Linked DNA regions of Mus musculus. The protein of the gene in region 4 interacts with the protein of the main gene of each other region in a biochemical or structural test. Links are inferred from orthologs where the notes say so. Each region holds a gene or a part of one and is shown on either strand. Other genes may lie near its edges.

Region 1 (5,090 bases), on a different chromosome or scaffold from region 4:
CTGGGTTACCTCACCACACGGACAGGAGTTGTGTGTGTTCATTGCCCCCTTGACCTGTCACATATGTCATATCTGTCACATGTTACAAACATCATAATTACATTATATATATTAACTATATATTTATTGCAATGTCAGTGACGTGTAAAAACATGCACACCCAGAATAGGTAGCTCAATAAAAGCTAATAAAAGTCATAAATAGCGAGGCGTGATGACACACCTTTAACCCTGGCACCCTGGAGAATAGAGGCAATCAGATGTCTGTGACTTTGAGAATAAAATGATTGACATAGCAAGTTCCAGGCCAGCCAGAGCTACATAGTGAGACATTGTCACCTCAGCTATCCAGGACACTGAAGTGAAAGGAAGTGAACTCAAGCTCAGCCTGAGCTAATTAATGAGAGACCCTGTCTGAAGAGCAGGGTACCAGGTAGAGGATAATCTCGACACTGTGCACACAGTGTGCCTACAGGAGGGAGTGGTTTATAGCTCAGTTGTCCAGGGCTTAACTAGCAGGCAAGTGGCCCTAGGTTCAATCCCTGCTATCACCAACAAAACAATTCATCAACAGCAACATGTATGTGTGTGTATGTGTTTGTGTGTGTGTGTCGTGGGGGGGGGGGTGTCACAAATGAGATGAGACATAGTAGCTGTCTTTATCAGTATGGGTTATTTAATTTAACCTCCAGTTCTATCCATTTTCTCAAAAATGACATAATTATGCTTTTCTTCAAGGCTGTCCAAAACCCCTTTGGGAACATACACCACGATTTCTTTATCCAATCATCTATCCGTTGATGGGTGTCTAGACTAATCCAGTAACCTGGCTCCTCTGTAAAAACTGCAAACACATGGGCCCGCAGGTATGTGTCATTCTGACTTAGATTTCTCCTAGTGGCTTTCAAGCTGACCTCTCAGTGTCTACCAAAGTCATTTCTTTTCTACTTGCTTCCCTGTGTGTTTGTGTTCCACGTGGCCTCTGTCCAAAGTCCCTGCAGTGCTTTCTGCAGACCTCCTAGACAAAATATCTCTATTAAACACTGTGGACTTCTCCCTGTACTAAAGGTCTATCCTACCATGCCTCTGCTGTTCTCTGACAGTGCTCCCTCCTCCCTGGCTCTACAGGCTCCCAGTATAGACCTCAGTGTGCAACCCAAAGGTGCTTGCTTATTAGATCTGTAACTGGGTCTCCCTCTGAGCCTTCCCTCTTTCTGTGCATTTTGCCCTAAGCCACACGACACCCGGGAACAGCACACATACCTCACACCCCCCAAACACCCTCACTCCAGCCGTGCTCCATCAGCTTTTGAAGGATGTTGTGAACACCAGTGTGTAGTCTTCACCACAGACAGGGAATCAGAGTGAAGACCCTTCTCTGGCAGATGGCTGCAAATAGGAGCATCCTGGGGAACGCTCCAGGGCAATTGCACAGCACTTCTTTCTCCTACTGGGACTTTAATTCTCTCTTATCTTTTTTCCTCTCCTCCCATATCTCTCTCTCTCTCTCACTCACACACACTTCACCCCACATTCTCTCTCTCTCTCTCTCTCTCTCTCTCTCTCACACACACACACACACACACACACACACACACACACCCCACACTCTCCTTCTTTCCTCTCTTCCTATCTTTTTTCTCAACTCGCCCTCCCTTCCTGCCCCCCCCCCCCCAGCCCCCACCCCATGCCACTCCCCTAACAGCTGCAGTCTGGAAGAAATTACTCTTCTAAACAGCCAGACTTCACTGGTTTCAGGACATTCCAGGCTGGGCCGGGGAGGGGTTGGGCTGGGGGCGTGCCCGTCCATCCCCCTAGCTCTACCCCCGCTTCCACTACGCTCAGTCCTGGTTTCCTCCTGTCCCTACAATCCCTTCAAAGGGCCTTTAGCTTTTCTACCATCAAGGCTTTCTAGTCCTTTAAATCCTAGAGGCAAACTTTTAGGGACTAAGGAAGGCTGGGAGGGGCCTATGGCTTAACCCTCTCAACCCGGGACAAGAGACCAGCTTGGCTGACTGGGCGTTGACTCGGTGCTTGGTTGGTAGGCTGCCATGGCCCCCGAGAGGGGCTGAAGCTTATTCCTGGTGCAGGTAAGAAGGAACTTCCGGGGGTTGCCAGATTCTGGGGGCTAGTCTCTTGGGTCTGAGGGAGGAGGGCAAACGAAAGAGAATTCCTGGACCCCTGGAATGTGAGAGAGGAAAGCAGGGGAACTCCCAGCCCGTGAAACCAGAGAGCTAGGAGGTGGGGCTGCTGAGACCCAAGGGTGCAGGACCCAGCCTGAGGCGGTGGCACTCAGACCGCCGCATGCCTAGGTCCTGGAGCCCCTACCAGGTAGGACGTGACACTTACTTTATTTGCCAGGTGAGATCTCTCCTGCAGAAAGAAGGAAAAAGGCGCCAGAGAGGCCAGGAGGGACCCCAGCTTAAGTCGGATCTCAATTAAGTCTGGACCACGAGGTGAGAAGGTTGTAGTGGGCAGGGGTCTTCAACCGGGGGCGTGGGAGGAAGACAGACTAGTTAGCAAACAGACCAGGGACTTCGACGTACCCGATGCAGCCCGGTGGCTTTAGGAAAAGAATTGCCAATGCTGAGATCCCAGGGGTCTCCAGGTGGGGTCCCTTGCCAGGTCTGGGCTCCACCCTCCTCCAGCCTGAGAACCAGTCCAGCCAGCTCTGGAGCGGGTTATTATTTTCTTGCTGGCAGGGCTGGGGCTGAGAGAGGACAGAGGTGAGCCAGCTGTGCCCCACCCCCACCCCCACCCCCATCCCTGCAGCTGGAGCCACGCGGTACTTAGGCAGGAAAAAGAGGGTGGAAGAGGCCAGAGAGGATGTGCTTATCTGAGCATGTGTCTGTCAGGGCGGGCTGGGTTGCCTGCTTTCTTCCAGTCTACTTTGCATTGATCCCTAACAACAGCCCCTCTGTAAGAGCCTAGGCTGATGACGAACTTTTCCCAAGAATGACCACATTGCCTTGTGTTTAACAGGCCTGCAGCACGCATATTTGAGCTTAGAGCTGAGTGTGCAAAAGGACACCTAGGTTGCAGGGGGATGTGACTCGCTGAAGGTCTCAGAGCAAGCCAAGGCTACAGGGGCATTAAAATCTCCATGTTGCATGTGTTAGAGCAGGCATGTAGTGTGTTGCATTCGAGTATGTTAGGGTAACCCCCTAGATTATTCTCCACTTTATTCTTGAAATGAGAGAGGTCTCTTATTCAAAGGAATAAGCCCCAGCTGTCTTCTTGCCCCTGCCCTCTTCCGTGCTGGGCTTAGAGGGTTTTTGAATGGGTGCTGGGGATTTGAACTCAGGTTCTTGTGATTGTGCAGCGAGTACCCTCGTCCCCCTCTAAACAGTTAACCATCATTCCAGTCCCAAGAGCTTTTTCCCCCCAAGAGACCGAATTTCACTATGTAGTCCTGGCTGGCCTGAAACTCTCTATGTAGACCAGGCTGGCCTTAGACTTATAAAGATCCACTTACCTCTGCCTTCTGTACACTGAGATTAAAGGCATGTGCATCACATCCACCTCCCAAAGCTCGTTGTGGTTGTGAGCCTACCCTTTAGCAGCTGAGCGTTCTCTCTAGCCCCACAAAAGCTCTTTTAATTCACTTCCTCCCCCCATATACAATGGAAGAGAAAACAAAGTCAGGAAAGGTACCACATGAGAGCTCTGGCTTTTATATCAAATTAAAGCTTTTTTGTTCCTCTCCATGTGGTCCACCTCCTGTGGGTGACTGTCAACTGCAATAGCTTCTTTACATTTCAGTCTTTACCAGCCTGGTCTAAATCCTGTCTCCAGAATATATTCCCGTGTGACCCAGGGCCAGTTATTGAATCTTTCTGCTTTTCATCATTGAAAAAAAAAGTTATCACCTTCTGCTCCAAGGATTGTTTTGAGGATCAAATGAGTTACCAAGGCCGGTGCTCATCTGTGAGAATGTGCCTGGGAAATAAAGAGGGCCCTGTGTGTGTTCAACATCCTTTAATATACAGGGATCTGGCTCTTGTTTTTCAGAGGATAAATTCAGCAAAAGATTAAGGGAACTCCCATAAGAAAAAAAGGGCAAATTTCTAGCACCAGTATATGTGATGTTACAAATTGTGATCTTAGCTGAATTTATGGGTATAGGCCTATAATCCCAGTTACTAGGGAGTAGAGGCTGAGGCAGGAGGATCACAAGTTTAAAGATCAGGTTATGGAGTAAATATAAATATAAAATACAACATCAATTTGGACCGGGGCAGTGGTGGCGCATGCCTTTAATCCCAGCACTTGGGAGGCAGAGGCAGGTGGATTTCTGAGTTCAAGACCAGCCTGGTCTACAGAGTGAGTTCCAGGATAGCCAGGGCTACACAGAGAAACCCTGTCTTGGAAAAAAAAAAAAAAAGGAAAAATCCATGTACCTGCTAAGTTGTTAAGGGCCAGTCCCACAGCCCATCAAAACTTTTGTTTACATTATGGTGGAAGAAGGGAGAGGTGATTGTGTGTCAAGTTACAATAAAAATATGTCTGCTTATCTACTTTTTTAAAGTTTTATTTAGTTTTTTTAGCTGCTTTTTAAAAAAGATTTATTTATTTATTATATCTAAGTACACTGTAGCTGTCTTCAGACATTCCAGAAGAGGGCACCAGATCTCATTACGGATGGTTGTGAGCCATGTGGTTGCTGGGATTTGAACTCAGGGCCTACAGAAGAGCAGTCAGTGCTCTTAACCGCTGAGCCATCTCTCCAGCCCCCATGTCTGCTTATCTAGGTTAAGGGTAGAGTAGGACTGGTATAGCAAGAGCAGTTTGAGAGATGGACAAGATGGCGCAGTTTTGTAAGCTCAGCACTTGGGAAGGCTGAGGCAAGAGGACTGCCATGAGCTGCCTGAAAGATGCTATCTCCAAAATAAAATTAACAACGATAAACACCAATGCTGGTGGTAGGCCTGAAATCTCAGCTACTCAGGATGCTGAGGAAGGAGAATAACGAAGTTTAAGGCCTAGGCTACAAAGTGAGTTCAAGGACAGCCTGGACAACTTAGTAAGATCTTGTCCAGTAATGAAAATCAAAAAGGTTTGAGAGAGGGCCATGGAAGTATTGGAGCTATG
Region 2 (4,290 bases), on a different chromosome or scaffold from region 4:
CCACCACTGCCCAGCCATAATACAGTATTTTAAGCTCAAAGGCCTTTTAACATTTTGACAGCAAGTTCAAACACACACCAATTATTTCAAGACACAGAGTTGGGGGTCATCAGCCTGTCACTCACTGATTTTGTATGATCTGGCCGAGGGGCAATGACGGGAGGAGCAGCGTCTTCATCATCATCATCTTCCTCTGTCACTACAGCTGATGTCTCTGACCCCTTGGTGTTCAGCTGCATTCATCACAGCAGCAAAGAGAGGATAAACCAATAACATCAAAGGTTAACATGGGGCTCCCCTATAAAAACAGTCTTAAAAGCTTATTTCTTCAATAGCTAATATAAAAACTACCAAACTTCACTGGTTCCAATACAACCAATTAAAAAGTAAATGAATATATACGGTGAGTATCATTTCAGTGGGAGGGGACTCTGCTAATGACTGATCCTGAGGTCTGTGTATGGTGTGACTGCTCTACCACTGAGCTACGTTCAGAGCTCCCGAGTACACTGGGGCACTATTCCTGCCCTTTACATAAGCACACACGGTGCTCTGTTAAGTAAGCAATCTTCTTAAGACCAAACTGAAGGTTCTCTGGACTCTGTAGACATAAACCTCATTTTGAGGAATTTAAGAGATCCAGCTTCACCAGTTAACAAAGCAAGAAAAGGAGCTGACAAGTTTTGTTTTGTTTTTTAAACTATTTAGAATGTGACACAATTTACCACACTCAGAACGGTACTGGTAGGGGTTATGGGAGGAGAGACTATGCCATCCAGTTCACCATATTCAGGTTCAATCTGGAAACAGTGGAAGAGTAATTAAATTGCACTGGAAGCCATTATAAAGATTAAACTGCCCAACAAGCAAATCCTATTTACTTAATATGGTTTCTTCAATTAAACAAATGGCTAACTTTAAAAAAAGAAAGAAAGAAAGAAAGAAAAAACAAAGAGGTATTTATCTGATGGCTAATTTTACTTTATTTTTGGTTTTTTAAGATACGGTCTTGCTAGTCACCCAGTCCTTCAAATTCACAGTGATTACACAACCTTGGCCTCTTGAGAGTTGGGGTTGGAGACATGGCTACCACATTTACACTTGATCTTAGCCAAAAGGCAGGAAGCGATGGCTACCACATTTAACTATTTAAAGATGTATTTATTTTATGTATGAGTACATTGTTGCTATACTCAGACACACCAGTAGAGGGCAACAGATCCCATTACAGATGATTGTGAGCCACCACGTCATTGCTGAGAACTGAACTCAGGACCTTTGGAAGAGCAGCCAGCGCCCTTAACTGCGGAGTAATCACTCCAGACCCTTGTTTTTATATATTTACCAAGCAAATTAAAATAGACTTGTTCTAGGCAACTGTACTGGCTAGTTTTGTGTCAACTTCACACAGCTGGAGTTATCACAGAGAAAGGAGCTTCAGTTGAGGAAATGCCTCCATGAGATACAACTGTAAGGCATTTTCTCAATTAGTGATCAAGGGGGAAAGGCCCCTTGTGGGTGGGACCATCTCAGGGCTGGTAGTCTTGGTTCTATAAGAAAGCAGGCTGAGCAAGCCAGTAAAGAACATTCCTCCATGGCCTCTGCATCAGCTCCTGCTTCCTGACCTGCTTGAGTTCCAGTCCTGAATTCCTTTGGTGATGAACAGCAGTATGGAAGTGTAAGCCAAATAAACCCTTTCCTCCCCAACTTGCTTCTTGGTCATGATGTTTGTGCAGGAATAGAAACCCTGACTAAGACAGCAACCTAAATCAGAATGCAAATTATAATAAATTATTAACTTACTGCTGGTGTTCCAGAAGGGAAGCCATCTTTCTCTGAATGTGAAACAGAAAAGATATGTATTACCAAACTGAGAAAGAAAAGTGAACTGGGAAATCACACACACACACACACAAGCAGACAGGGTTTTGCTATGTAGCCCTAGCTGACCTGATATTTGCTATACAGTCCCTGCTAGTTGTTGTTTCTCCCCCTACCCCCATCCCTATTTTAGATTTTATTTATTGCATGTATAAGGTTGGGCGTATCCTTGGCTGCTGTGGAGCTAGAAATACAGACCAGTATGGCTTTGAACACACAGAGCTCTGTCTACCTCAGCCTGCTGAGTGATGGGATTAAGGTGTTTTCCAAAACGCCGGATGGATGGCAAAGCACTGTCCTGTCAGAGCTGATTTATGTCACAAAGTCACTTCCACTACAGCCTACTCACAACAACCATCTCAAGCATGACCTTGTCTATACATTTAGACGCTTTGCCTTCCATTGCTGGAAGTCATTTAAAAGCATCATAGAGGAAAAGGTTAAATAAGCAAAGAGCTCAAACATCCACCAACTCTATTTCTGGCAAAATGATAAGGTTTATATAATCACCAGACATCAACACTCTCTAAAGGGCAGATTTATGCAGGAGAGAAGGAGCGACAACAGCTATACTTCCATTGTTGATTGTCCCAGAAGGAATCTTTTCTCACCACCGTCTGGGGTCTTACCAGGAGGAGTGAAACTCAGGTACTTCTGTTTCACAGTGTTGGAGTCGTAGAACTTCAAGACATCCAGCACTGCCTGAGGGTTCTTCTTCTGCTCGAGTTTGGTAATGTTGGAGGTCTGCAACAGCCGCGCCCACTGTTCTGGCATGCCCTAACCAAAAGAAACCCATAAATGAGTTATGGTTTAATGCTCGAATAAAAACATTTCACAGACCAATGACAATGCCTGCACAGCACATGTAATGGAAGGCTGTGAGCTGCTGTGTGGGTGATGGGAACTGAACCAGGTCTTCTGCAAGAGCAAGTGCTCCTAACTGCTAGGCTAGCTCTACAGCCGGTACTTACTTACTTTTGAAACAAAGTTTCAACTATATAGCTCAGCCTGGCCTGAAACTCTGAAAACAGTCTGAGTTCCAGTTGCCTTAGTTGCCCATAGCTGCCTCAGTGTTGGGATTACAAAAGTACAGTAGTTTTTATTTTGTTTTTCAAGACAGGGTTTCTCTGTGTAACCCCAGCTGTTCTGGGACTCACTCACTCTGTAGACCATGCTGGCCTCAAACTCAGAGATCTGCCCACCTCCCAAGTGGATTAAAACTGTATTCCACCATGTCTGGCCAAAAGGTAAACTTACAGTGAACTCTCCCGTAACAGCATCAAAGCCAACATGGATGGTGTGCTCAAAATCAGATGGGGGAGAAATCTCTGGCCGTTCTTTTTCTTTCTTTTTACTTCCTGGGGGATGGGGGAGAAAATTATCTCTTTAAACAAGGCTATCTATGGCACTTATTACTGTATTTGTAAGTTCTGAAACCAATTATGAATGAACTTATGATAGGAACTGATTGATATCGACATGCACCCTGCTGGACACAATTTACGGGCGCCACTTGTGAAAGCGACCATCTTTCCCTCCCTCCTCCTCCAACCTGATTTTCTGAGACAGGCCTCATTCTCCAGCCCACATTGGCCTCAAATTCAGGGCAATTCTCCTGTATAGCCTAAGAATATTAAGGTTGAATACATGAGCCACAATACCTGGCTTACACTTTTCTTTTCATTACAGTCTGTAAATATTACATCTTTAAATTACCGAACTCTCCTATAGTTGTACTGTAAAAAAAAATTACAACATTCTTGCAACATCAGTAACATTTTTTGCACATTCAAATACATCAATTCCTTCTCCTCCCCAGTCCTCCTCCTCTAATCTGTAGCTCTTAAAACCAAGGATCTATTTCTGGATGCTCTGCTCTCTTAAAATCATCTGTCTATCATTATGCCAATCCTGTCTATCTTGATTACTGTCATCCTTATAACAAACAATCAAAGTATAGTCTACGTCCTTTTTTTTTTTCTATATGAAAATAACAATGTTTCACATTTCTACAAAAAGCCTCCTAGGGCTGTGACAGGAATTGCATTAATCTATGAATCTACTTAGAATTTATATACATCTTGCATTCTGATCCATGGCCAACCACAAATCGTGATTGCTGGGAATTGAACTCAGGACCTTTGGAAAAGCAGTCAGTGCTCTTAACTACTGAGTCATCTCTCCAGCCCCCAGCCTGTTCGGTTAATTTTAAATACTCCTACTAAGAATTATTTCTCATTGTTCTTTGATCACTGTTTTCCTCTGATAATAATGTTTTCTTTTTAAATATCTATCTATCTATCTATCTATCTATCTATCTATCTATCTATCTATCTATATATCTATATATCTATTTATTTATTATATGTAAGTTCACTATAGCTATCTTCATACACTCCAGAAGAGAGC
Region 3 (4,290 bases), on a different chromosome or scaffold from region 4:
TACCACACCATTCTCTTCTTTTTTATCTGGGTTCTGGGGAATGAGACCTGGGTCCCCATGCTTACACTGCAGGCACTGGACCAACTAGGCCATCTCTCAGGTTTCCAGCTATAGTTTTTTAAAACAATCACTAAAAATGTGTTATCTTGAGACTCATTTGTCCACACCAATCAAGCAACTCTAATCTTGCTAATGGTTCAGTGTTGCCTTCGTTGATTCAAGTGGTTTACCCTGACTTGTTAATAGGGTTTGTTTTTTTCCCCTAGGAAAACATGTTCACTATCTTCTGTGATTGTTTTTTTTTTTAATACATACAAATATCTAAAAAGAAGCTTTTACTTTATAGTGAACATTTTTAAATTTCAAAGTGTTATTGAGTCTGACTCCTGGCTCACTCCTTTGGTTTTCTCTGCCCATCCCCCTTACAAGCTAGTGCTTTTCATGATATTAGAAGCAAATGCCACTTGTTCCCTAGATTTGAACAGAAAAAGATGGTTTACTTTCTTTCATGTTCAGTATCAGCTTTCCTTGCCGGAGGAGGAAATGCTAGCAGGCATTTGAAAGCAGACAAAGTAAGCCATGAACTTGGACAAATTAAATAAACTCTATTTCACAGCATCGGAGGGATGTTTAGAACTCAGGAATGTATTTTCTTGTCTTTAGAATGTTACACTTGAATGAAAATTGTTGGTGACTTTTTTTTCCATCTATTTTGTACAAATTTGCATTATACTTATTTATATCTAACTTTTTTGTGCTATAATTTGTAGAAATTTTGTATAATTTTTTTTCTTTTTGTCTTCAGATTAAGGAAAAACCTTAAGTCTCTAATCATTGTGCACCCCTCTTGGTTTATCCGAACACTTCTGGCTGTTACACGACCATTTATCAGGTAATTTTCTGAGTGTCCATTTAAAAAAAAAGTATCTTGTATTTAAATGTCAGATTTATGAGTCAGAAGTACGGAGATAATTGTTTTGTGTTTTCTTCCCCAGTTCAAAGTTCAGTCAGAAGATCAGATACGTCTTTAACTTGGCCGAGCTGGCAGAGCTTGTTCCCATGGAGTATGTCGGCATACCAGAGTGCATCAAACAGTACGTCTGCCCTGCTTTCCTTCCCTTCCTGGTTGTGGGCAAGGGGAATGCTTTTCCCTCTCACGGTATTCCAGAACACAGGGTTTGTAAGGAACCCCACAGCTTCCCCTCACAGCACCATGTTTACAGAACTGGAGGTGATGGCCACTCATGAGTCCTTCTGTACGCTAAGTGCTGTTTACAGTCCGAGAGATGACTTCCTGAAAAGGCAGTCCTGTAGAGTAACTTTTCTGCTCGACGTATTACACTCTCACATGGAGTGAGTTTATCATATTACTGAAAGAACTCATTGCTAAAGAAACGAGTTGTTGATTAAATCAGCTTGGTCTTAATATTTTCCAGAAACTAGAATTTTCTGTTTCATCGTTCACTTCCGCCTGCCTTCTAAGAGACTTGGAGAGACTGTTGGTTGAGCAGTGGCATCACAGTGCTGTGGTGCAGTATTTCTCTGACTGTTACTGTTGGTCTCAGGGTTTAGGCTTAAGTATTTCCAAACCAGATTTACCAAGTTGGTTTGTAGTCACTACATCATGTTAAATGTTAGCATTTCATATTTGTGCCTACACAGTTACACGTTCAGTCTTTTTTTTTTTTAATCTCAAAATGTGCATTTACTGAAATAACTCTTCCCTACCAAGGTATGAAGAAGAAAAGTTTAAAAAGAGACAAAAAAGGTACATGCACACCTTGACTGGGTTGCATCTAGACTAGTCCATTTGCATTGCACAGACTAACCCTGCTGCTAGTTGGTTAGCTTGCAAACAGAGACTAGCATTTGTAAATATAAATGTCGCCCAGAGCCGAGGACAGGGCAAACCCCAAGCTCCTCGTGCTCAATATGAGCATGCTTAACGTGTGTGTCGTATCAGAGCTCTCCTGCTCTGTGTGCTGAACCCAGAGAAGTGACTGGGAGCCCTGGCTAAAATCCCAGGCCTTTGAAAACTTTAGCATTTTGCTTTTGAAGTAGATAAACAGACATTTTCAAGCAACAGCTTATTCCCTTGGGGTCGATGATTATATTTGCAATGCATATACTCTTTGGCTAACCAACATTGATTTTCTCTATATGCTTAAATAGCCTGCTAACCAGTCAAACTCTACATGTGATAAAATACCTAAATTCAGTGTACCATTTAACAGTTAAACACTCTGCTTTCTACTTGAAATTTAATTTTGAACACTTCTGCTTTGAGTGTAACAACCTTTCATTTGTTAATGTCTTAGCATAAAGATGAAAGGCAGAGCATAAAATAGTTTATCATTTTATATAGTAGTTTAGAAAAGCCTTGGTCCTGATTTATTCATAGTTTAGTTCGGGAGTTTTTGTTTAGTTTTGGAGCTGGTCTTACTCCGTATCTCAGGCTGGCCTCTCTTTCACAGTCTTCTGCTTCAGTATCCAACTGTGAGCTTGTGCTTCTCCTCCACCACACCCACTGTTAGTAGATTTCATTTTATTTTTAAATTGTAACAACAGCATTAGCAAATGTCACTTACTATGATCTTAGAGACTAAGATGAGAGACGTACATATGTTACTTTAACCATCTGTGGGGCCAGTTAGAATCTTTGCTGGTGTAGTCTTAATTTTGAACAGTGTGATTCTTTTGGTGAGAATTCAGCTAACCATTTAAGAGTTATTTTTGTGTAGCACTTTCCAGTTTAAACAAGATTCACTAATCTTGTGTAAAGCAGTATGTAACTAGTAGCTTGGGTAGTAGGGTCTGCTTCTCTAGGCAGTGCTGTGTATATGCCTGACAAATGGATGAAACTCAAAATAGCATCGATAATTATAGATAGTAGTTGGAAGCCACCTACTTTCTAGACTTTAAAATGACTTACTGGGAGTTGGGGCTGGCAAATACCTTTAATCACAACACTTGAGAGGCAGAAACTGGCAGATTCTGTGAATTGAGGGCAGCCAGATCTACATAGTGAGTTTCAGGAGCTGGGGGGGGGGGGTTGAGAGAGGGGGAAGAGGGGACCCTGTATATATAAATGCTTCTGATGAGGAAATGTGCTGGTAATACCCCTTTTAAAAAGGTTTTAGTATTTTATCAGCTGTCATAGGTAATCCAGGCATCACGTAAAAAGTGAAACTTAATGTTTTACTTTTGTCATTTGAAAGCATTCACTTAATCTATGTTCCCCTGCTAAAAAAAAGAAATGTAGTCATTTATCTTGCATTGTTTCCCATTGTGCTTGTGTTCATTCCTCAGTAGTGTCATTACTGATGTCTTTCAGCCCTTAATTCATATAAAACTTCCTTTAGTATTAAAAAGATGATTTGAGAAATATTTAATTATCTCTAAATACAGAAATATGTTTAAGATAAAACTGGGGGGGAGGGTTAGTTGTGGCAAGCATCTGTTAAGTGGAACTTGGACAGGCATTCCTAGTATTTGCTAGGAACTAAGGATTGAGGTATAGTCCTTTTAAATGTTTTACCTGTTTTCTTTCTGAAATGTGGTGTCCTGTGGCCAGGCAGCTGTCATGCTTCAACAGTGCCTACAATTACTTCTTAATAGTAGTTCATACTTTAAAAAATCAGTTGTATATTATAGGCCTTAACAAGAGTATTAGCTAATCTTTGATGCCAAGATAATATATTTTTACAACAGTTCTGGCCTTTTTACTTTTGATTGACAGATATTTAGGTAATTGTAGGTATGGAAACAGGTGTGAAAAAGAACCATCCTGCTGTGTACTAGTGTGACTTATATATCTCACACCAGCCATTCAAGCTACTACAGAGTCAGTTCTGTTACATTATCTTCTCATCTCCATGTGCCTACATTTTCTTAGTACCTCTGGCCAACCAACCATTAATCCAGTGAGATTTTTTAACTTGTTATAGATACTTCTGAATGTTGAGTCCATATGGCTTACTTTCATAATAAATGAACAGCATTCACACACAGTGTACCAGTGAATTCCAGAAAATAGTATAGTTGCTATTCTGTAAGACACAATTTGGTTCTGGATTTTAAAAATGTTAATTGGTCAGTTGGTGATTTAAATGACACATTTAAATTTCAGTTAACAATCATTTTTGAGAGAGTTGATTTTTCTGTCAGCAGTCCTACTCACTAAACTTCTTGCTTTAGTGGAATTATATCAGTTATCAGCTCTCAGAATGTTTATGGCTGTGAACATAAAGTATCCTGTGGTCTTAAAAAAAATAGTGACAATGTATTCTT
Region 4 (4,290 bases):
TTATTTGTTGAGTCTAATCTTTTTGGGATGGGGGGAAATCATTCATCATTGGTAAAGGACCTGAGTGCAATCTCCAGAGCCCACATAACAGTTGGTACTTTTCTACAAAAGCTTATCTATTCTGCTTTGTGAACACCAGGCTAATGAGAAACCTTGTTAAAAACCCCGAGGTGAATGGCAGCTCCAGAATGACATCTGAGGCCATCCTGCACTTTTGCACACAAGCACATGTGTACTTAAACACATTCACAGACACACAAAGATTCCATATCTTAATATCCCAGATTAAAAAATTAGTGTGGGGTGGGGGTTGTAGGGGTAGGGTGGCTCACTGAAGAGATGGTTAATAGTTAACATTTGTAAAGAAAGAATCTAGGTTCCATTCTAGCACCAGTGTTGTGGCTTACAGCTGTCTCTCCTGATATCTGTGGGCACTAGGCACACAATAGGCATATACATGATGAGCAAAACATACATACAACAGATCTAAAAAAATTTTTTTGAGGGGAAAGTTTATCTTTAAGTACAGTAAATTCTTGATGTATTGTAATTGATAGTTGGTAAAACTGTAGTAAGAGAAACTAAACTCTGTGTGTGTGTGCACACGTGTGTTAGTGCTTGCATGGCATGCGTGTTTGTGTTGATGTGTATTCATGCATGCATGAACACACTCTCTGGTATACTTGTGGAGGTCAGAGGACAACCTTGAATGTCAGTCCTTGCCTTTGACCTTGTTTTTTTGAGACAGGGTTTTCTTGTTTACTGCTTCGTGTACCATGTATGCTGTAAGCTTCTTCCTCCAACCTCCTGATGGGGCACCCTGGGATTACTGGCACTATCTATCACTACTGCACCTAACTTTTATTTGATTCTGGGGATCTGAGCTTAGGTTGTTAGGCTTGTGTGGAAAATGCTGTACTTCTGAACCATGTTCCTAGCCCATATAATAATTACAATTTAAAATTTATCACTGGTTATAAGAGCTGATATTTTCATTGTAAAAATGTAGGTTGAAACACTTGAGGCCATGAGTAATAACTAGGCTAACTGGTGCTGACATGGCTGCTGAGAACTAGAGGTCACTCTGATCATTGCTCACAAGTTCTGAGGGGGGTGGGCGAAGGCTGCGCTGCTTGTTACTATATCCTGAGTTACTGCAGCTCTAAGGCTGGGCAGTGAGTCATTTTTTAGAGTATTCTTCGGGCTGCAATTGGTCTTGCATATAATGCGTGTGTGCTCACACTGAAGCAGCTTTCACAAACTATACTTCATATACCACACGAGACTCTTTTTATAGCACCTTCCTTGCCCAAGGCAGGCGGATCTCTGAGTTTGAGGCCACTCACAGAGTGAGTTACAGAACAGCAAGGGCTACACAGAGAAACCCAGTCTCAGGGAAGAAAAAAAAAAATAAAAGGAATATATCGGTCACTGTTCTACTTTGATACTTAAGACAAAACAACAAGGTCCAGAAACTTAGCAAATGGATCCTTGTAATTGCTGCTCTGAGCAAGTTGCCATTTTTTCTTTTTAGAGGTTTTCAGTCATAGCAGTAATGCTAGTTCTGGTTTGAGTGGCTGAGCCTGTTGCTAGGGGAAAAAAGTATGGATTTAAACATAAATCAATAAAATAATTGTCTTTAATTTCTTCTTAGGACAAGATCTAATTTGAAATATTAAAAGTGGATACAAAACTGTTTCCGAAATGCAGACAATTAAGTGTGTTGTTGTTGGTGATGGTGCTGTTGGTAAAACATGTCTCCTGATATCCTACACAACAAACAAATTCCCATCGGAATATGTACCAACTGTAAGTATAAAGGCTTTTTACTAGCAAAAGATTGTAATGTAGTGTCTGTCCATTGGAAAACACTTGGCCTGCCTGCAGTATTTTTGACTGTCTTGCCCTTTAAAAAAAATTAAATTTTACTACCTTTATTACTTTGTGGGGTGTGTGTTATATGTACATACCTGTGTCCTGCTTTGGTGTATGTGTAGATGGCAGAGGACAACTTGAAGGGGTCTTTTTCCATTGTTGGGCTCTTAAGTTGAACTTAGGTTGTCATGGTTGGCAGCAAATGCCACACACAGCAGCCCACTGTTTGACAGTTTTAAAGGTTTTGACTTCTCATGCATGATTACCTGTACTTTAAAATAGAACAGCTGGGGTTGGAGAGTTGGCTCCACAGTTAAAAATGCTGGCTGCTCTTCCAGAGGACTCAAGATTCAATTCCTAGCACCCACATGGTGGTTCATAGCTACCTATAATCCAGCGCCCTTTACTGACTTCTGACGACACTGGGCAATCATGTGATGCACAGACATACATGCAGGCAAAACACATATACATATAAAAATAAGATGATAATAAAGGTAAGTAAAGTAAAAGATGAAAAATGAGTCTTAAGTTAGAAGGGGTGACACAGGGTCTGTAAGAAGGTCTGGAAAGTTATGAAGCATGGGCTGTCAGTTTGCAGAAGTGCATCCTACATTGGGATGAGGTGACTTTTTGTGTCTGTGCCATTGATTAATAAAGCCTAGAGACCCTGGGGCGCAAATATAAGGACCTTATAATTTCAGAGAAAGTAGTAATGTTTCTGCTTACCTTGTGGAGCTGTTCTCTAAATAGTGATGAGGTTTCATTTCACACTTAATTTTAGGGGTAGAGAGCAGACTTTTCTAAGAGCGTTCAGATATGCCTGAAGTCTTGGGACACTCACTGTAATTGCTTTATTAACTCCTCCTTAGAAGGGAAGAGGAGAGATAGGAATAATTCAATAACTAGATGAGACACTTATTGGAGTGATACTTGGGAAAGCATGTTTGGGGCTACAATATTTATTCAGAGTTGCTTGTATAATTATGTTAAATGTACTTGCCCTTTCAGTGCTCAGAGGGGAGTAATTTTAGGAACTATAAGGGTCCAAAGTATATCTAATATGGGACTCGTATCTTTTGGAATTGACCAAAAAAAAAAAAAGAGCAACCTGAGGTCAGTCTTCAGAGACATAGTTAACATAGTGTTAGCCTCTGTGATGGCACAGCTGGTGAAGTTAGGCTAAGGTGCGTGAAAGAAGATGAAGTTTCTTTGAGGGCTGAGAACTTAAGGATGTAATTTGGTAATAAAACTACAGTTTTGAGTTGGCCCATTAATCAGAAGATGTTTTGAAGGTACAAGGGGCTTTGTGAGACATGATATGGATCATTTCGTAAGGTGAGATAGCCATTGGGAATTTGGTGTCTTGAGTTTTTACTTGGAAACACGATTTCCAAGTCTTTCATGACTTTATTTAATGTGATGAATTGACAGCGGGCTTCTAGGGGGCTGGTGAGATGGCTCAATGGGTAAGAGCACTGACCGCTCTTCCAAAGGACCTGAGTTCAAATTCCAGCAACCACATGGTGGTTCACAACCACCCAAAATGAGATCTGACGCCCTCTTCTGGTGCATCTGAAAACAGCTGCAGTATACTTATTTATAATAATAAATAAATCCTTAAAAAAAAAAGAAGAAAGTGGGCTTCTGGGTGTTTTATATGTCTGTGTATTGTTGGGGAAAGAATAGCAGTAGGGTAAATTTTTAAGTGGGCCTCCTGAAGTAAATAGTCCGAAGTCAGTTATTTATCAATGGTGTCTCTGTTGGCATGGAAATAGATTTGCATCTTTATGCCCATCTGTGGGCTGAGTTATCAGTTATGGAATAGAGCTGAAGAAAATTATGCACATCTTCCATGAGAGAGAAAATTTAGGTTCAACTTGCAGATGAGGCTTGGAAATCAAGGTTTGTTTGTTTATGCTTTTTTTTTGGTTTTGTTTTGTTTTGGAAGACTGGGGCTCACTGTATAGCTCTGGCTGCCATTGACTCTGCTCAGTGCGTTCTGATTCTGATTTTGCTGTCTTCCTTTTTCTTTCTTTCTTTTTTTAAAAGATGTATTTATTTATTATATGTAAGTACACTGTAGCTGTCTTCAGACACACCAGAAGAGGGCATCAGATCTCATTGTGGATGGTTGTGAGCTACCATGTGGTTGCTGGGATTTGAACTCAGGACCTTTGGAAGAGCAGTCAGTGCTCTTAACTGCTAAGCCCATCTCTCTAGCCTGTCTTCCTTTTTTCTGAGGCAAGGTTTTACTATGTTGTTCAAGTTGGTCTGGGATTCAAGTGATACTTAAGCTTAACCTCCCCAAGTGGCTAAGATAGATGCTATCCAACATACCTGACACATTCCTGTTGTTCTCCTTAATGAATTATTTTATTAATTTTTATTTGTGTGATGTGTCATGTCCACAGG
Region 5 (3,414 bases), on a different chromosome or scaffold from region 4:
GCCGTTTTATAACGTAGCTGCCCCTAATTTATTTTTAAGTTTCTTTTTTTTTTCTTTCTGGTGCTTACATTTGACCCTCAGCATTGTGCTTGCAGGCTGTTTCCCACTGAGTTCAATTTCCAACCCCAAATACCTGATTTTGGGGAGTGGGAGGAATCTTATGTAGCCCAAACTATCCTCAAATCCACTATGTAGTTGAGTCTGGCCTTGAACACTTGACTCTCCTGTTTCTCCCAAATGCTGGGATTATAGATATGTGCCACCATGCCGAGCTGCCTAAATATCTATTTTTGCACATTAAAAAATGTACCAAATAAGGATGGTGACACGCACCAGTAATCCAGCTCTCAGGAGACAGAGGCAAGAAGATTCAGAGTTTGAGGCCAGCCTGGACTTCATTGTAATTCCTGGCCAGCCTGTATAGTGAAAGCAATCTTCAAAATCCAAAGCCAGAAATAATCAGACAATTGAAAGGATTCATGAGCGGTGTCCAGACCCAACTATGTGTGTACCACATAGTAGACCTCTTACGGTTTTTGTTGGTTGGTTTCTTTTTCTTTTCTTTTTTTTTTTTTTAAAGATTTATGTATTTATGTATGTAGCTGTCTTCAGACACACACCAGAAGAGGGCATCAGATCCTATTACAGAAGGTTGTGAGCCACCATGTGGTTGCTGGGAATTGAACTCAGAACCTCTAGAAGAGCAGTCAGTGCTCCTAACCAGTGAGTGACCTCTTCAGCCTGGTTGGCTCATTTCTTTTGCAGTGCTGAGAATCAAACTTTGAGCCTCACACATGCTCTACTGCCAAACTGCTCTTCCATGTCTTGCCACACCCTGCCTTGCTTGCCACTGCCGTGGTCTAGCAAACCAGGCTGGTGCCTCTCTGTGAGCAAGCGTTCCGCCTTCTGCACAGGATGCTCTCCCCTCCTGGAATCAGCCTCCCTCCCTCTGCTCCCTACCTGCCTCCTGCCTCCATCAAACAGTGAGCACTGGCCCGCGCTGCCCCCCTACAGCCGCAGTGATGGCCCTTCCCCTTGACTCAGCAGCCCTGAGACATCCTCTGTTGACAGTGCGAGCTGACTCATTTCCCTGCCACCCCCAAAACTGGGAACTCCTAAGACAGTATGTCTTAGTCATCTGTACCTCCCTGTTGGTAACCAGTAGTCTCTCAGCGCATATTAATTCAGTAACTGTGAAAGGATTTCTTCACACACTGTAACTAAGCATACTGCATACAGTCCCTATTCCATTGGTTTCACTGCCAGTGCAGGCCAACCAGTCTGCTAAGGAGACTGTACACTGCTGCTCGGATTCAGGAACTGGTCTGCCTCATAGGTGCCTGGGGTTAGGGTTAGGCTAGGCAGAGAGGACACACCATGGTCCCCATCCTTGGGACACTGCGGTCCCTTCATGCCCTTCCTCACCACCACTCACCAGTTTAGTGGTAGTGACGACAGTGCTGTCGTAAGCCGCCAGGACTGCAGAGAACATTAGAAAACAGCCGATCATACCGATCACCCCAGAGCCAGCTCTTTCCTGATGGCCTTGCCACCCAACACTTTGAGCCTCAGCAGCTCATCTCTAAAGTTCAGATAATTATGCTTCATAAGGTTTTTGTAATGCCTTGAAAAAATAGTGTGTAAGGTGCCTAACCGAGGCCACACACAGGCTCGGTGCTGGATGGTTGCTCCTCCTGTTGTACTTGCATTTACGTTAGACAACCTTTCTCATGCGGAGTTGAAGTTGGAGTCATATTCAGTTTACAAGAGACCCTGGGCTCAGTCTCCTAAAAACAAAGGACTCCAGTAGACTGCAGAGCTGGAGATGTAGTTCTGTTGGTAGAATGCTTGTTTGGCAGGCACAAACCCCTGGGTTTGATCTCAGCACTGTAGAAACTGAGCCAGGCAGCACATACCTGTCATCCCACCATGGGGTCAGGAGTATTCGGTCAGCCTGTGCAAAAGTGCCAGGGGTGGAGGCGGGGCGGGGGCAGAGCAACTGGTAGGTACTGAGACATTACAGGTCATTCTCATTTTCATTTCTCATTCTCATTGGCATATTTCATAAATTGAAATGCCTTTACTTTTTCTATGTGTATTAAAACCTCTAACCTACATCTGAAACAATGGGGAAATGCCATCATAACTTCTTTTTGATTAATCATTCCTTTACATTTCAAATCATATCCCCCTTCCAGTTACCCCTCAACAAATCCCATCCCATCTCCCCTCTCCCCTCTCCACCCTCCCCTTTGCCTCTTGAGGATGATGCTTCACCCACTCATCCATGCCCTGCTCACTGCTCCAGCGGCCCCTACCGTTGTAACTTTTGAAATAAGCTTTAAATGTATTTTAACTGAACATAACTCCTAATTTCCCTTTGTGTTTAGAATCTTTTACTATAAACTAAATGATAACCTAAGACTAAGTTGTAGGCTCCCTGTTGCTCCAGCACCCAGGGTAGCTGGCCCCAGGGCAGTCGTGCCCCGTAAAGCTCTGCACTGAGAAGTGTGTCTGACCTGCTGCACCATTTCACACCTGGCACAGAAGTCCTGCCTCTCCTCTCCTGGATCGTGGGGTCCTTCCTTTTCTTGTTCTGGATTCGATGGTGAAATTGTTTTGTTTTGTTTTTTAAACAGGACTTGCTGCAGCTACAGTATGAAGGAGTTGCAGTTATGAAATTATTTGATAGAGCTAAAGTGAATGTCAACCTCCTGATCTTCCTTCTCAACAAAAAGTTCTATGGGAAGTAATGGGTCGCTCGCCGCCCAGAAGAGTTAACAAAAAACGGCAGCACCTCACGGCTGTCTTTCTAGGATCCTCCATTATTCCTTAGAAGCAAGGACCTGGTCCAGTGGCGGTGCCTCAGTTCACACTCCCTCTGACGGACGGACGGACGTCAGTGCCCTCTCCCTTCTCCTTGTGAAGCCATAAGCCTGACTTCCCCTCAGCCCTGCTCCCTCATTTTCTCTCATCATGTAGGAAAGAGTGGGACCCCCTCCCAACCCCTTTCTGTTAAAGCCTCCTAAGTGGTCATTACTACTTTGTAGACATTGGTATTTGTTTTACTTAGCAATAAGAATGGTGAAATTCAAATTCTCGTTTAGAAGTGAAAGCTGTCAGGTTGATAGCAAGCATGCACATCAAATTCACCAGAAGTACAACCCATCGGCGCAGTCAGAGGATGGAGTCTGATGTCTTCCGGCTGCTGCCTTTGTGGGCAGAGCTAATCCAAGTTACTGTTCTCTGTTCAAATGAAGCAGCTTCAGGAGAAAAAGAGCAATTACTTTTGAATTCTCCAATAAATCTGGACAATGCCGTTAGCGAAGAGCCCTTCCTGGTGAAGGCAAACCCATGGTCACAGCAGGCCATTTAGAGACTGAGTGGGCGGGGCACTTACCATCCCTTCCACAA
Region 6 (4,121 bases), on a different chromosome or scaffold from region 4:
CAAGCAACAGCAGATCCTGACGCCATCGCCCCAGGGACCACAGTGTGTAAGACAGCTCTGCACTGCGCTGCAGAGCCTTCACAGTGTGCTGCTGTGCCAGCTCCTGTGATGGGGCACCATGTAAAGTGCTAGCACATTCTCTGGTCCTGTGGTTACATGCTTTTTTCCAACCTAGGTATTCAAGAAAACTGTGCTCTGATGCCACTAAGCACAGCAATGTCTCAGTTACAGTGTTGAGTATGTATTTTAGAAAACTGCTGTCCTTAAGATACCACTAACTTACAAACTGGCTTGCTATACTTCATTGTTTTGTTGAAAGGCGGCTACACGTTTTAAAAAATCATTTTAGAAATGCATGCTGTGTTGAAAGATGGGTGGCTTATGGTGACCTGACGGGTGTCTGCCTGCTGTACAGATGAGCAGTCTGCGTTACATGCCCGTCACCCACTATCAGGCTCAACAGCAGTTCCCTCTGCCTGTCTCAGAGCTGGAGCAGTTATACCTTCAACCCAGAGCACAGTCTTAGACTTTGATTGAGGTCTTGGTGCCCTGTGCACAGAGCAGTTTCATGTCCAGGACCCTGTCATGTGTTTTCAAACTGACAGCTGCCATGAAGTTTAGTCCCTTAGATCTATTGCGTTACTTACTGGAGCTCATAGCTTTTATTTAGGACTACGTTTAGTAAGAGATGGTTAACTGAAAGGTCAACCTTCATTCAGCAAAGTGTCCTTGGTAAGTGTAGAGCAGCCCTCAGTCTCTTACAGAGTCTGAAAGCTTTAATGCTGGAAACAGATTTTCCAGCGAGAAAAGACTGGAAGAGCTGAGAGGAAGTGCGCGGACCGCACTGCTCTGGTATGGTGACGAGGCCTCGCCGGGCCTCACCCGCCGGGCCTTCTCAAGCCCATAGTAAGTTTAATGACAGGGTGGTCACCAAGACTAACAGAGTCATCAGCACTCAGCCCAAGCATACTACTTGGCTGCAGGGTAACAGCGGGAAGCCTGGAGAGCCATCCCAAGTGCTCTTTCCTGGATCCCCTTCTTCCCCCAGGAGCTGGGGTCCAGCATCGCAGACGCCTGCACTTCTCTGGTCCTCACTTTTGGGCACTTTCAGAATGCATTAGCTTCCTCTAAAGACACCTGCCCTCCTGTGGGAGGCATGCGTAAACATGCTTTCTTTGTGTGACCTGTGTCCCTCAGTGCTCAATAGGAAACGAGCCTCAGAGTGGCTCCTGCTAAATCAAAGAGGCTGTCCAGGAAGGACATCTGCCTGTCACTTGCACCCTCCTGGGGGTGGGGGTTGACACTGTCAGCCTGCTGCTGGTTTTTAAAATATGTCCCTCCCTAGGACTATATGTTAAAGCCTACCATCTCCAGGACTTGAGACACAGAGAGAAAGATAGGTGGTGTGTCCTCACTAGAGCACGTAGCTGCAACCCCTCCAGGGTGGGGTGGCTATCATTTGGGATAGTCTTTCACAAAGAGTATACTCCGAGCATATTAGGATGTTGACAACCTACTCACATGGGAGTCAAGGCTGGACTACCTCACCATATACAGGGCCTCCTTTTACTGACAAAATTGTGCTCTGTGACATAGGCCTGGCAGGCCTGGCTTGATGGCCACTCCTGAACTCCCCAAGGTGTTTCCAGTCTCTGTCATTCTGGCCTTGATTGAGTACCTTCCAGTGCAATAGGCTTGGCAGATACACAGAGTCTTCCAGGCCCCATAGTTAGCCTGATGTACAGCTATATGTCCCTACATGCCAGGGACATTTCATAAGCTTAGACAGCAGTGGGCTCACCTCAGTGCATTCAGAGCACAGGTTCGGGTTAAATTGCATGAAAAGCTGCTCTTCACAGTTTTCTCTCTCAAACACCATTCTAGGGTTTCCATGCCAACGAGGGTGCACAAGAAGTGCTCCTTAAAATCTGATATGCTTTCAGAAAGACAGACAAAGGGCACCCCAGAAACACAAAAGCAAATTAACCCCTTGTGCACAGTCATCTTGCCTCGTGTCACATGCTTTTCCTCAAGAGCTGTGACAGCACAGCCCTCGGCAGGCATCTGTATTCACACAGAGCCCGTCCTTCAGCAGGCGTCCATATTCATGCAGAGCCCGTCCTTCCTCCAGTGCGGACCTGGTGGTGGTGCGCAAAAACAATGAGAATAATCAGTCACATGGCGTAATTCTTCCTGGTACCCATCCTTTCAAGGCCAGTGTCTGCAGCACATTGTGCGTCCGACACATGAGGTGGTTACCAGCCAACGTCTGTGCCAGGACCATGTGCCTGTTCCCGCTGCCATTGGAAGCTGTGTGTCTCAAGGGGCTGAGAATGCTTTCATCTGGTGATCAGTCAGTAAACCGCACCTCTCCTAAACCATTGTGTTACAGTGCTACAGGGTTTTAAAAGCCATTACTACTGTACAGCTTTTTCTTGACGCTTTAGCTGTGACTCTTAGCCCTTCACACTGAGCTACCACTCCAGCTCTGAAACTTTTTTTCAATTGCCAGACTTTTTTCATTTATAAGCACAAGAATTATGCATTCTTTCCCGGTCTGGACTTTCCAGCGTTGCTGCTCCGCTATAATGGTTTAAACCTCGATTGTGTGTTGAGTGCAGTGTGGACAGACCTTTAGCGTACTTGCTGTTAGCTAGCGATTAACGTACTTAAGAGAGTTTAATAATTCGCAAAAGAGGCGATTTTTACTTAGTTTGCCTAGTTTGCCTTTGCTGTTTCCTTTGCTCTGTAGTGTTTTGGTTGGCCACACTCAGCAGACAGCTGGAGGAAAGTGGTGAAAGGTCTTCCTGCGCAATCACTGGTGCTGTGTGATAAGTGACTGTAGTGAAGTAGGTGTCCTTTCCTGCCCTCAGGTGGCACTCACGTGGGCCTTCTCTTTCTAATGACCAGGTTCACGCAAAGAATCTGCTCCACAAGTGTTGCTTCCAGAAGAAGAAAAAATTATAGTCGAAGAAACCAAGAGCAATGGGCAGACAGTGATAGAGGAAAAGTAAGATGCTTTTCTCTTCCATTATGGCTGGCTCCCCACCCCCACCCCACTCCATCTCAGGCAGATAGTGATAGAAAATAAATAAGATGGTTTTCTATTCTGTTCTGGCTGGCTCCCCCACCATCCCATGGGTGGCACGATCTCTAAAGTCTGCCGGAGGCTGGGGTGCAGCCCCTCAGATGGGTGACAGTCTAAGCTTGGGGTTAGCTTGAGGAACCTAGGGGGGCTCCACCCTGGAGGCTCTGCCCGTCTGTGTTGTGTCTCTTTGGCCTTTCCTGTGCTTACTCGCTCTCCTGTTCCAGGAGCCTCGTGGATACGGTGTATGCGTTAAAGGATGAAGTCCAGGAGTTAAGACAGGTACGCCAGCCAGTTTTTACTTTTAATTAGTTTTTTTTTTTTTTTAAATGGGAGAAAAAGGGAAATACTGTTTTAAACGTGAAGCTCATTGTATACTGAAAGGAAACCACAAAGTCAACACCGTTTCTCAGATAGGAGTGACTGGCAAGGGCTGGAGAGATGGTATAGCGGCTAAAAGGTCCAAGTTCAGCTTACACATCCACATGGAAGCCTATCTGTTAACTCCAGTCCTGGGGTATCTAATGCTGCCTTTTGGCCTCTGTGGGTAATGCATACACATTGTACACAGACATACATGCAGGAAAAACACCCCGTGTATAAAACAGTATACACACACACACATGCATGTCTAAAAAAGAATAAATTATCATTTTAAAACACAAGAGTGAGAGGCAGGAGATGCCTGCCTGTGCAGCACAGCTGTTTGGGTGCGAGCGGCCCGTCTTTTGCCTAACTTCTAAGTAGTGCTTTATTACTTTGTGTTTGATGTGGGGTGGGGCACATGGCATGGCACATGTGGAGTGGGTTCTCTACTTGTATGTGGGTTCTGAGAATCAAATTCTGGATGTCAGACTTGCCCTGCAAGCCCCTTCACCTGCTTGAGCCGTTGTAGGATGTGTATATTCAGTGCTTTGGAGGGACAGGGCAGCAGTGTCCTGAGGGTGAGGTAACTGGACATACTTGGCAGTGCCTGTCTCCCCTTCTCGTGTTTGGGGCAGTATGCTTTTCTCCCTTCCTGATATGTCTCGTTCAG
Region 7 (4,290 bases), on a different chromosome or scaffold from region 4:
CTCAGAAATCCGCCTGCCTCTGCCTCCCGACTGCTGGGATTAAAGGCTTGTGCCACCACGCCCGGCCCTTGTTTGCATTTGTGTGTGTACACTCCATGTGCCTGGTGCTCATGGAGGCCAGAGGAGAGCCATGGATTCCCTGGAACTGAAGTTATAGTGGCTGTGAGCTGCCTGCCATGTGGGGGCTGGGAATCAACCCCAGGTCCTCTGAAGAGCATCAGTGCTCTTAACCACTAAGCATGCTCTCCAGCACCAGGAAAGAGAACTTTCAACTTGGGAGTTGAAGAAGGTACAGTTCACCTGATCTTTAAGGCGACTGAGAGTCCTTTCTCAGGAGATGAGAGCAGGCTGGGGAGAGGAACAACTTGGAGAAGAGATTTGTAAAGAACTCAGAGAAATTGTTGTCAAGAGAGGAGAGCAGGAAGGTACGGTTAGGAAGGTCACAGAGAGCATAAGAAACAGAGCTCAGAGTATCTGCAGTTTGTTGTGCTTGCTATCAACAGGTCAGAAAGACATGGAACTTTAGCAGGTAAGATTAATGTATACAATAAAAATAACCAGTATTCCTGGGGCTGCTGTTACTAATTACTACAAATTGAAACTGGAAGCACAAATGTGTATGGAAACAGTTTGACAGATGTCACCTCGCCTGTGGTCACTTGAAGTTCTTAGGGAAGACACCCTCCTGTCTCTTCTATCCCCTTACGGCTCCCAGCATCTCTTGCCTTTTTTTTAATTATTATTACGTATTTTCTTCAATTACATTTCCAATGCTATCCCAAAAGTCCCCCCCTACTCCCCCCCCAACTCCCCTACCCACCCATTCCCATTTTTTGGCCCTGGCATTCCCCTGTACTGGGGCATATAAAGTTTGCGTGTCCAATGGGCTTCTCTTTCCAGTGATGGCTGACTAGGCCATCTTTTGATACATATGCAGCTAGAGACAAGAGCTCTGGGGTACTGGTTAGTTCATAATGTTGTTCCACCGATAGGGTTGCAGATCTCTTTAGCTCCTTGGATACTTTCTCTAGCTCCTCCATTGGGGGCCCTGTGATCCATCCAATAGTTGACTGTGAGCATCCACTTCTGTGTTTGCTAGGCCCCGTCCTAGTCTCACAAGGGACAGCTATATCACGGTCCTTGCAACAAAGGCTTGCTAGTGTATGCAATGGTGTCATCGTTTGGAGGCTAAATGGACCATCTAGAGACTGCCATATCCAGGGATCCATCCCATAATTAGCCTCCAAACTATGACATCTCTTGCCTTTAAGTAGCACAACTCCATGTTTTCATGGGGCCTTCTTCTCTATGTCTCTTTGTCTTTTATTTTCACCCTCCTTGAAGAAAGGAGCCACTGTAAGATGTCATCAGAGGGGCTGGAGGAGTGGCTCAGTGGCTGAAAGCTCTTCTTTTCTTTCCTTTCCTTTCCTTTCCTCTTCTCTTCTCTTCTCTTCTCTTCTCTTCTCTTCTCTTCTCTTCTCTTCTCTTCTCTTCTCTTCTCTTCTCTTCTTTCTTTTTTTTTTTTGGGGGGGGTTTGTTTTTTGAGACAGGGTTTCTTTCTGTAGCCCTGGCTGTCCTGGAACTCGGAAATCCACCTGCCTCTGCCTCCCGAGTGCTGGGATTAAAGGTGTGCGCCACCACGCCCGGCTGAAAGCTCTTCTAAAGGACTGAGTTTGCTTCCTAGCAGCAGAGACTCCTCCGAGGGATCCCTTACCCTCTCTGGCCTCCTCGGTCCCTGGCATACACGTGGGGCATACTCACATGAACATGTGCATACGAGTAAAAATAAGAGTTGTAAAGACATCACCCAAGGTTACCAAGTTGGTCTTTTGGAAACTTATAAGAAGAGAATCTTTTAGTTCACCTTTGGGCTCAAGTTCGTAGGCTTTGGAAAGTTGTTTGTTTTATTTTTTTTCCCCACACTGGAAACAGAATGATGCAGCACATTCCATACTGGGATAGTAAGCTGAATATGACTGCGAAATGGACAGCTCATCACACTTGGAGATTCAAGTGTTGCTAGGGAAAGTCCAGACCCTTTAACTGTATAGTCCTTAACAATCAATCACAGGCTTTACACTGCTTGGTTTTTATTATTTAGGTGGCAGGGCAGAAGGAACCCTCCGCTCAGCTAAAAGTGAAGAGTCCCTTACTTCTCTCCATGCAGTTGACGGTAAGACTAAAGTGTCCTCGGATGGATTACATAAAACACACAGAGGCAGCAATGTTATGAATATATACTTAGCAAGAAGGCTGTGAAATATCACTTCCAGTACTATTAGCATTAAGTATGGTTCAGTTAAAACTCATGGATATTTTAATATGGTGTGGTATTTTGGCAACAAATACTGTTTATGTAAAATGGCTGAAATGTTTCAAAGCAAACATTTATATTTGTCAGTGCTTAAAAGTGAGTGTCACTGTTTCCTTTAGATTTGGTAACTGGAGCAGCTTTGAGACTCATTTGTTAATGATGGGTGGTCTTCAAGGGTCATTAGTAGTTGGACCTGGCACCTTAAAGTGAGTCTGCCTCCAAAGGACCAACATCACCTGGCAGATACTGGAGGGAGGTGTGGTTACAGCTTAAGTTAAAATTCAGAATCAGACTTTATGAAAGCAAGTGTTGTGCTAAGCTGTGCCACTTGGATTTGCTTGGAAAGTGAAAAGCCTGTTTTCATTGGAAAAGAAGGAAGGATTTTAAGTGTGTGAATAGAGTGCTTTATTAAATGTGTGTAAATACTTTTTAATTAGGAAGAAGTATCATTTCTTCTTGTCTGGGGTACCATAAGGATATTTCCCCATAATAAACAACCTTTTGTTACTATTTGATACCCAAGGTGCTACTTTCAGTGATGACTTCTACCTTGCAAGTCAAATATGAGACCAGTGATAAAATAAGACACAAAGAAAGTAGGAACATTTGCCCAAAGTCATAGCAGTTGTCAATGTTGAGTTTGGCATACAATCCAAGAGTCTCTTGCCATTTTCTTACCCAGGCTGTGGATCAGCTGTAGTTCATGTGCTTTTTAATTAGTGTTTTATTTAGAAGTTCTTTTGCCACAAATGTAACTGATGTTTGTACACCCAGAGACAGTTCATGGGACGAGAGATTGAAGTTGCATGATTCCTGCTGTACTAGATAGGTGACTAGTGGTGGTGCTGTGTCCTGTGACAGCCATGCTCTGACATTGCTGTCCATTTTTACCAGGTGATTCCAAGTTGTTCCGACCTAGAAGACCCAGATCCAGCAGCGATGCGCTCTCTGCCTCTTTCAATGGCGACGTGCTGGGGAACCGGTGCAATTCCTATGACAATCTGCCCCACGACAACGAGAGTGAAGAGGAAGTGGGGCTGCTCCACATTCCAGCTCTTGTGTCTCCTCATTCGGCTGAGGATGTTGACTTGAGTCCACCAGACATCGGAGTGGCCAGTCTGGACTTTGATCCCATGTCATTTCAATGTAGTCCTCCAAAAGCTGAGTCAGAGTGTCTGGAGAGTGGTGCTTCCTTTCTGGATTCATTAGGTTATACCAGGGATAAACTGAGTCCCAGTAAGAAGGATGCAGAAGCAGGTGGTAGCCAGTCACAGACTCCAGGAAGCACCGCAAGTTCCGAACCTGTATCTCCAGTCCAGGAGAAACTGAGTCCGTTTTTCACCCTGGACTTGAGCCCCACTGACGACAAGTCTTCTAAGCCATCTTCATTTACAGAAAAGGTTGTTTATGCTTTCTCTCCGAAGATTGGGCGGAAGCTAAGCAAATCTCCTTCCATGAACATATCTGAGCCTATTTCAGTGACTCTCCCACCTCGGGTATCAGAAGTCATCGGTACGGTCTCCAATACTGTAGCTCAGAATGCATCACCTACATCTTGGGACAAAAGTGTGGAAGAAAGAGATGTCATAAATAGATCCCCCACCCAGCTGCAGCTAGGAAAGATGAAAGCAGGTGAGAGAGAGGCACAGGAGACCTGTGAACCAGAAGCACAGCCCCTGGAACAGGGGGCAGCTGAAGAAGTAGAGTTGCCAGGGACAGAGGAGCGGCCTGTCCTGAGCAGTCAGAGCAAGGCTGTACCGTCTGGACAGAGTCAGACAGGTACTGTTTGTTCTCCTCCGTTCCTTCTCTAAGCTAAAAGGGGTCTTCCGTCCTGTGTGCCATCTGTGCCTTTTAAGAGAGCCTTCTCCACAGCTAGGCTAGAATCAAAGAATGTTTTTCTGAATGGTGCTGAGGGCTCAAAGCCCTAAACTAAAATGAAGCAAACAAAACTCCCCAAAGGGCCCATGGTCCTGCTG

The links.
Region 1: the proteins of Cdc42 (region 4) and Cdc42ep5 form a complex in vitro, tested with the Homo sapiens proteins (2 studies listed by BioGRID). The link is inferred for Mus musculus from reciprocal best matches to the Homo sapiens genes CDC42 and CDC42EP5.
Region 2: the proteins of Cdc42 (region 4) and Pak2 form a complex in vitro, tested with the Homo sapiens proteins (4 studies listed by BioGRID, with this or other methods). The link is inferred for Mus musculus from reciprocal best matches to the Homo sapiens genes CDC42 and PAK2.
Region 3: the proteins of Cdc42 (region 4) and Bnip2 form a complex in vitro, tested with the Homo sapiens proteins (2 studies listed by BioGRID, with this or other methods). The link is inferred for Mus musculus from reciprocal best matches to the Homo sapiens genes CDC42 and BNIP2.
Region 5: the proteins of Cdc42 (region 4) and Iqgap1 form a complex in vitro, tested with the Homo sapiens proteins (6 studies listed by BioGRID and IntAct). The link is inferred for Mus musculus from reciprocal best matches to the Homo sapiens genes CDC42 and IQGAP1.
Region 6: the proteins of Cdc42 (region 4) and Arhgef7 form a complex in vitro, tested with the Homo sapiens proteins (2 studies listed by BioGRID). The link is inferred for Mus musculus from reciprocal best matches to the Homo sapiens genes CDC42 and ARHGEF7.
Region 7: of the proteins of Cdc42 (region 4) and Arhgap32, one has a biochemical effect on the other in vitro, tested with the Homo sapiens proteins (3 studies listed by BioGRID). The link is inferred for Mus musculus from reciprocal best matches to the Homo sapiens genes CDC42 and ARHGAP32.

Annotation. Positions count from the first base shown.
Region 1 is NC_000073.6:4,161,458-4,166,547, reverse strand, and holds the start of Cdc42ep5 (cdc42 effector protein 5), read left to right. Parts: upstream 1-1,842; 5' UTR 1,843-2,089; intron 2,090-2,249; exon of another isoform or gene 2,250-2,303; coding exon of another isoform or gene 2,304-2,330; intron 2,331-2,360; 5' UTR 2,361-2,455; intron 2,456-5,090. UniProt on the Homo sapiens protein: Probably involved in the organization of the actin cytoskeleton. May act downstream of CDC42 to induce actin filament assembly leading to cell shape changes. Induces pseudopodia formation in fibroblasts. Inhibits MAPK8 independently of CDC42 binding.
Region 2 is NC_000082.6:32,041,343-32,045,632, forward strand, and holds part of Pak2 (serine/threonine-protein kinase PAK 2), read right to left. Parts: intron 3,240-4,290; coding exon 3,139-3,239; intron 2,659-3,138; coding exon 2,511-2,658; intron 1,836-2,510; coding exon 1,804-1,835; intron 234-1,803; coding exon 126-233; intron 1-125. UniProt on the Homo sapiens protein: Serine/threonine protein kinase that plays a role in a variety of different signaling pathways including cytoskeleton regulation, cell motility, cell cycle progression, apoptosis or proliferation.
Region 3 is NC_000075.6:70,002,574-70,006,863, forward strand, and holds part of Bnip2 (BCL2/adenovirus E1B 19 kDa protein-interacting protein 2), read left to right. Parts: intron 1-805; coding exon 806-892; intron 893-995; coding exon 996-1,094; coding exon of another isoform or gene 1,095-1,248; exon of another isoform or gene 1,249-1,426; intron 1,427-1,732; coding exon 1,733-1,768; intron 1,769-4,290.
Region 4 is NC_000070.6:137,333,494-137,337,783, reverse strand, and holds part of Cdc42 (cell division control protein 42 homolog), read left to right. Parts: intron 1-1,654; 5' UTR 1,655-1,704; coding exon 1,705-1,809; intron 1,810-4,290. UniProt on the Homo sapiens protein: Plasma membrane-associated small GTPase which cycles between an active GTP-bound and an inactive GDP-bound state. In active state binds to a variety of effector proteins to regulate cellular responses. Involved in epithelial cell polarization processes.
Region 5 is NC_000073.6:80,713,171-80,716,584, reverse strand, and holds part of Iqgap1 (ras GTPase-activating-like protein IQGAP1), read left to right. Parts: intron 1-2,639; coding exon 2,640-2,753; 3' UTR 2,754-3,414. UniProt on the Homo sapiens protein: Plays a crucial role in regulating the dynamics and assembly of the actin cytoskeleton.
Region 6 is NC_000074.6:11,828,583-11,832,703, forward strand, and holds part of Arhgef7 (rho guanine nucleotide exchange factor 7), read left to right. Parts: intron 1-2,910; coding exon 2,911-3,010; intron 3,011-3,312; coding exon 3,313-3,367; intron 3,368-4,121. UniProt on the Homo sapiens protein: Acts as a RAC1 guanine nucleotide exchange factor (GEF) and can induce membrane ruffling. Functions in cell migration, attachment and cell spreading. Promotes targeting of RAC1 to focal adhesions. May function as a positive regulator of apoptosis.
Region 7 is NC_000075.6:32,251,966-32,256,255, forward strand, and holds part of Arhgap32 (rho GTPase-activating protein 32), read left to right. Parts: intron 1-2,101; coding exon 2,102-2,173; intron 2,174-3,208; coding exon 3,209-4,093; intron 4,094-4,290. UniProt on the Homo sapiens protein: GTPase-activating protein (GAP) promoting GTP hydrolysis on RHOA, CDC42 and RAC1 small GTPases. May be involved in the differentiation of neuronal cells during the formation of neurite extensions.